Linked DNA regions of Cricetulus griseus. The protein of the gene in region 2 purifies or fractionates together with the protein of the main gene of each other region. This does not show direct contact. Links are inferred from orthologs where the notes say so. Each region holds a gene or a part of one and is shown on either strand. Other genes may lie near its edges.

Region 1 (3,216 bases), on a different chromosome or scaffold from region 2:
AAGTCTCAGGACTGCCAGGGTTACATAATGACACAAAAAAGTATTCTTTGACAATTTCATACATGTTTACAATGTATATATTTTGAATATATCCATCCCCTATTGTCCTTTCTTATCCTCTATTCAACCCCTTCTTCTTAACAATTACATCTCCATTTTCATGTCTTTCATTAGTGCCTCACTGAATTTAATTAGGGTTGCTTGCATGATCATGGATGTGGGGTTATTTACAGAATTATGAGCAACTTAACAGTGGTTACACTACTGAAGAAAAACAACTCCATTTCCCCAGCAGCCATAAACTGCCAATATCTCCTCAGAAGAGGGGCCTCATGATATTGCTACACATTTATTATATTGATAAAATTCTAATACCAAAAGTTTCCCAAAGTGAGCCCCAAATGACAGGGTGCTTGTGTTTTTAATTTTCCTCTATTTCTGTAATTGTCTTCTTCTACTTTCTACTAATGTAGTTTTTCACTGCTGAGGATTGAATCAAGGACCTCACAACATTAGGTGAATACTCTTATTTTATACAACAAATACCTCTCCTCCAACACAAAGAAAATCTTGAGGTTGAAAATACTCAAATACAGATTAGAAGCACAGCTTTATTTTCTTCAGCAACATTTGAGCACCAAACTAAACAAGTGGCCCCTAAGTGCCTGAGGACCAAGTCAGGCAAAAAAATATTAGGCCCCACATTTAAGTAGCAGGTACTATTTCTGGAATGTTTTCCAGAAAATTGTCTGCTTTGGAGGGAACCGACATAAGGTCAGATCTGAGCCCCTTTTCCCAGGCAGGCTTAACGAGAAACTGGGGGCCCAAAGCGCTTTATGGTGTTCACCACTAGGGCGAGCTGGTCAAGAAAGTTCATGATGGAAATTCGGAGGAGGCGAGAGTCTTCTGAGATCCAGTGTCTAAGAGTGAGGAAAAAGAATATTAAGTTTAAAATAGTAATTCTTATCCTTCTTTCCTTATTTATTTTGGAAAGAGAGAGAATCTCACGATGTAGCCCTGGCTGGCCTGGAATTCACAGAAATCTGTCTGCCTCTGCCTCCTGGCTCCTACCTTTCTGGATCTTCCCTCAGGCTCCCACTGTACCATATCCTGCAGGTAAAGACTGGTCCACTGCACCAAGAGTCTTCTTAGAAGTCACCCTAGTGTGCTGTCTCTAAGGAAGTGCAGTCTTGGGTAGAGAATAGTCCAGCCACCTACCCAGCATGCCAGACTCTTTCAGCACTTACACCTCCAGCATGCAGCCGCTGACTTTAAGGTCTTTCCCCAAGATTCCTCGGTGCGGTTCGGCATCAGGAGCTAGGGACCCACAGGCGATTTCTGCCTCCAAAGAGGTCGGGAAAGGCACTGTAAGGGCACTGGTAGAGACTCAGGAAAGGCACCATGTTGAATCGTTTTCGCCTACTTGGCCCTCTAAAACCATCTCATCTGGTCTAAGCTCCCCAGACTACATCTTGCACATTGCTTGGGCAATTCCTGTTCATTCCCTCCACCCTCCGGTTCCCCTCCCCCTGTTATCTTCTCATGCCCAGACCTCCCGTGGTTAACAGACCTCAATCAGCCGGTCCCCCTGCTCCCCTCCACCCCACCCCCGTCTCCAGACTACCCCTTTTCCCTCCTGAAGCATCCCTAAAGTGACCCAGTTGTCCCTGTCCGGTAGGATACAATCTATGATGTCGGATTCCCGGCCTTTGGGTTAAAGGAACAGTGCTTTTGCTCCAACCGGAGACTTCCGATGCTCGTGCAGCAGGGTGAGCTCCACTGGGAATAACTGCCACTGCGCCTGCATCACCGGGACAGCAGCAGCTGGTCGGGGAATCGGCGCCATCTGCAGTGTGGCCTAAACTGTGTGCTGCTTGCATGTCTACCGCTGCTCCACCCTCCAAGCCACCCTCCGCCATCGCTACGGCCCAGAGCCCGCCTTATCCTCCGGAAGCTCCGCCCTCGCTCAGGCTGCCAATCCCACATGCACCTGCGGGAATGGGCGGGCGACAAAGTTGCTAAATTGGGTCGGTCCCCATCTGGAGGCCTCTGTTGGGATCTCTAAGAGATTGATCTAGTCTCCCTCAGCCTCCAAAGTGCCATACCACATCCAGCTTTCCCTTCAGTTTCTTTTTAAAAGGGATCTAAGGAGCCGGGCATTGGTGGCAGATGCCTTTAGTCCCAGCACTCGGGATGCAGAGAGAGAGAGAGATATCCAGGCTGTCCTGAAACTCACAGATACAAGCCTGCCAAGTGTGCTGGGATTAAAGGTGTGTGCCACCACCATCTGGTTTAAGATTTATTTATTTTTATTTTATGTGTATAAATGTTTTGCCTGTTTTTACATGTGTGTAGTGCCTGTTGTCCATGTGGGTACTGGAACTGGAATTATGGGTGGTTGTAAACTTTTATGTGAGTTCTGGGAACTTAACCCAGGTCTTTTGCAAAAGCAGCAAGTTCTCTTAATCACTAAACTATCTGTCTAGCCTCTCTCTCTGCATCACACCTTCAAAAGCTCTGAGATTGATCTTCTTCTTGTCTACAGCATATCCCCCACAAAAGTTTCTAATTTCTTTCTTTTTCTTTTTCTTGATTTTTCGAAACATGGCTTCTCTGTGTATTAGCCCTGGCTGTCCTTGAACTAGCTCTGTATAACAAGCTGGCTTTGAACTTCACCTCCTGGCAAATTTAAGATATCTTTTACTTATTCTTTGACAATTTCATACATGTGTACAATGTTCCTTGATCCTACCCATGCCCAACTCACTCTTCTCACTCTGTCTAATTTCTAGTATAGATTAAATCAATGCTTAAAACCCTGTATATTGGGCTGGGCGTTGGTGGTGCACTCCTTCAATCCCAGCACTCGGGAGGCAGAGGCAGGCGGATTTCTGTGAGTTTGAGACCAGCCTGATCTACAAGAGCTAGTTCCAGGACTGCCTTCAAAGCCACAGAGAAACCCTGCCTCTAAAAACAAAAAACAAAAAATAACCAAAAAACCCTCAAAAAACACAGACACACATACAGACCAAACACTCATACACATAAACATTTTTAAAACTCTTAAAATAAAAAAGGTCATGGTGGATTGGATAGAATTTATTTGGTACACCATTTATGTGGCATTTCAAGGTTCTGGTTTCATTCCCATTATCACAATCAACCAACCAACAATCCCTGAAACGTTTTCTAGTGGCACTTGGAATAAAAACCAAA
Region 2 (3,749 bases):
CCATTTATCCCTCAGGACTAGAGTATTGTTCTCAGCTCAATGCCACCTGCCATGCATGACGTCCACAAGCCACTGTTTGGGGGAAAGCCTGTTGGACTGATCTGAAACACCCTGTTCTAGGGGAGTGGGGTGCATCTCGGTTGGCAGAGTGCTTGCCTAGCATGTGTGAGCCCCTGAGCATTGATGAACCAGGTATGAGAGCACACGCCTACACTCCAGGGGATGCAGGAGATCAGCTCACGGTTATTCATCCTCACACAGCAAAGCTGAGGCCAGCCTGGCCTACTCACCCAGTTCTGCCCCAACAGGCCTTATGTACATTAAGCTTCCGAGAACAGTGGAACCCAGGTGACAGTGGCACAGCACCACTGTGCCAGGCCACTTAACAAGGACAACACAGCCTGAGGTCCGGCCCCGCCCACAGCATCCTCACTGGGAAACAGTCAGCAACTCTGCTACCCCACCATGGAGCGCTTTCTCCCTCTCAGGCGCACTTCATCTAACTTCTTCAGCACTGGACTGGACTTCCTGGATGAAGCACCATAGCTCTTCAGGCAGGCTTCAAACACAGCCTCGGTGTGGGGGTGGGTGCTGAGGAAGGCCTTCTCCAGGACGTAGAGGTCCACGCCTTTATCTTCTGGCAGTCCAGAAACAAAGCTGAGCCCGAAGTCGATGAGGATGATGTGCAGCTGCTCCAGGGGCCGTTTTAGGAGCATGTTGGAGGTGGTGAGGTCCCCGTGAATGAGGTCTTCATCATGCATCCTAGCCAGGGTCTGCCCAATTCTCCTGGCCAAGCCCAAGAGGCACTGGGGGTCGTTCTCAGTCTCCATGGTGGACTGAATATAATCTCTTACAGTCACTGAGTCTTCGATTTCCTCCATATATAAGCAGTTAGAAGCATAGTCCACGAAGAAGACAACCGGGGCAGCTATCCCTGCAATGGACACACACACGGTTAGCAAGTATTTTCTTTATGAAGGCAGGCTTCATTTGCACGGGTGGAGCCAGGTTTTCAGTCTAAATCTACTTACACTGGAACAGGGTTTAGGAATACTATGGAAATGATATAACCTAGCCCGAAGTTCCCCTGCTCAAGCCCTGCAGGACTATTCCCTGAGCCCAGCCGAGGATACGTCTACAAGTATCAAAGCTTGCTCCCCCTTTCTCAAGTCACCTCAGGAGAGGAATTCACTGCTACTCCCTAAAAACAAAACAAAATGCAAAAACAACAACAAAAACCCCAAGAAGCCAGAAGGGAAAGCATCCTCCAGTCTGAGCAGCTTCGACCTGACTAGCAGGAGGCTAAGCAGCATGCCATCTTAGACTATCTTTGCTCCAGAACAGGCAGGTTCGAATCCCAGCTCCGTCCTTATTAGTTGTGAAACCTCAAGGTTCCATTAGCTTCTCTGTATCTCAGTTTCCGATACCGTCATGGTGGTAACAATAGCTCCAATTAATTCCAGGAGTCTCTCCCAAATGTCAGCTATGTTCAGGACTCTTTCCTAGAAACTAGAGACCTGCCAGTGGGGATCAGTGTAGCCACCGTCCCTGTCTGATAAAACTTATAAAAGAAGGTGAAACAGAAAATATGTACACTACTTTATAACTCCATTAACTCTGCTAGGGCAAGAAAATACAGGCTGTCGAGTTTCCCCAGACTGCCCAGCACCCATCAGAGTCCTGGTGTGGAGTAGACACCTAAAAACCAGCAAGTGTAAAAAGCAAAGGGTCTGTGCTTCTAAGATGCAGACAGCCCTCCTGGTGGCTGTGGAACCTGAGTCACTTTCCCTTTGTGCCTCGGTTTCTCTGGAGGGCAGTTTTGTTAGTTAAAATGTTGTTTTTAAAGAAAAAATGAATCATTTAATGAAATCAGACTTTATTGAATGCTTTGTCAGCATGCAAACATGTGACTCTCAGACCTTCTCTAATGGTCACAACATCCCTGAGATTCCCATCGCATACTAGGAAACTGAGGCGCGCGCGGGGGCGGGACGACGACTCGCTGAAGGGCCACGCGGGAAGCAGCGCTTAGAATCTGAATCCGGAGAGCCTGTCAGGGCACCTGCGGCTTCAAACTACCAAATGGAGTGTGGAGGACGGTGAGCGGAAACGGTAGGAACGGGGAAACTGAGGCGAAACCACGAGATAATAACAGACAGCTGCGGAGCTGTGTGCTGAGTCCTTTAAGCATCGCCGCCCGGCTCCGCCCCCCGGGTCTCAGAGCCCCGCCCCGCCCGTCCGCCCCGCCCCGTCCGCCCCGCCCCGCCCCCGTCCCGTCCGCCTCACCCGCTCGGCGGCAGCGGAGCAGCGCTCGCGCCTCCTGCACCGTCCTCCGCCGGCCGAGCCGCGCCTCCAGCACCGGGTGCCGGTAGCTCTTGGGGAAGCGGTGCTTCACCACGGCCGCGCGGCCCAGGAAGCGGCCGCGGAAGACGCGCGCCTCGGCGCCCTGCTGCACCAGCTCCAGGCCGCTCAGGAAAAGGAGGCTCCGCTCACGCGCTGCCGCCAGCGCCGCCGCCTCGGCCTCCGCCTCCGCCTCCGCCGCCCGCTCCGAGCACGCCGCGGCCATGCCTTCGGCTCGTCCGGACCCTGGCAGCGCCGCTTCCGCTCTCTTCGGAAATCCTCGGGCCTCTTCCGCCGCACGACACCGCCCCCTCCCACTTCCGCCCTGCCGCAGTGGTTCCGCCTGGCGACCTTTCTGAGCTCTGGCTCTAGACCCGACCCGCGGCCTGGCCCTTCCCGAAGCTCTTCGTGTATCTCCGTGAGAGCTCGGCAACTTTCGGTCAACAGTTTCTCACTCTTCGGCTTTCTCCGGAAGCGCGTTGGCGAAGCGCAGGCTTTGGGAGCCTTCTCCAACTTGGAGGCTCTTCTGGGAAAATTATTTTGTGGACACCACTCCTCTTTACTAGGCTCCTTTCCTTTCCCCTTCCTTTTCTTCCTTTTAGAGTCAGGGTCTCGCTGTGTAGCTCAGGTTAGCTTCGAATTCATGATCTTCCCACTTCTGTCTAAGGAAACATGGTCTTTAAGCCCGGCATTAGCGTGTCAGCAGCCAGCATCGTCACTCTGTGTTTGGTTTTCTCATCTTCAGAATGAGGGTGCCTGGTTCTGCTGGGGCCAGAGCTTATCAGAATAAAAGACGACAGTGGCTATGTGATGCTTGTGGACAAGGGCGCTCTTCACATGGTGTCTGACCTCCAGGCCCTGCCCCCACGCTCCTTGGGGTCCTGTTGAAATGCAGAAGAGAGGGACTTTGGACCAGGGTTGCTATGGCACCAGCATCCTGGCTCTGTGGTCCCTGGGTTTCGTTCATACCACAGGACTGTTTTCACACATCAGACCCTTGCGTGGGCATAATGTTTTCCAGCAAAGCTCTCCGAGAACTGGTTCCCTTTATATTCCCCAGTGCTCACGTATGTGGCTTCATTATCATAATTGGTTGTGTCCACGCAGCCATTGCTATGGTGACCAAAACCATCTGAACCCTTGCCTTAGAAACTACAGTGCAAAGACTCTGACCAGAGCCTGGCTTGCCAAGTCAGACTGACCTTAGCTCTTTAAACCCGGATCAAATGTTCAATATCTCGTTGCTGTGCTGAGGCCTGCAGGGAACTCCTGCATCTCTTGTAGACCCTTCCCTCACCAGACACCTCCCCACTCCCCATCATGCTCCCTCTACACAGAGCCTTTGCATCTGCTGTTTCCTCTGGGGAAACATGTTCTTCCAGCCCCTCATGAGCTAGACCCTAGTAGAT

What was found.
Region 1: the proteins of Tp53rk (region 2) and Lage3 purify together in Homo sapiens (affinity purification with mass spectrometry; 5 studies listed by BioGRID and IntAct, with this or other methods). This does not show direct contact. The link is inferred for Cricetulus griseus from reciprocal best matches to the Homo sapiens genes TP53RK and LAGE3.

The regions. Positions count from the first base shown.
Region 1 is NC_048604.1:1,362,755-1,365,970, reverse strand, and holds Lage3 (EKC/KEOPS complex subunit LAGE3), read right to left. Parts: upstream 1,954-3,216; 5' UTR 1,920-1,953; coding exon 1,684-1,919; intron 1,377-1,683; coding exon 1,248-1,376; intron 921-1,247; coding exon 806-920; 3' UTR 592-805; downstream 1-591. UniProt on the Homo sapiens protein: Component of the EKC/KEOPS complex that is required for the formation of a threonylcarbamoyl group on adenosine at position 37 (t(6)A37) in tRNAs that read codons beginning with adenine.
Region 2 is NC_048599.1:13,921,345-13,925,093, reverse strand, and holds the start of Tp53rk (EKC/KEOPS complex subunit TP53RK), read right to left. Parts: upstream 2,619-3,749; 5' UTR 2,567-2,618; coding exon 2,287-2,566; intron 935-2,286; coding exon 456-934; 3' UTR 1-455.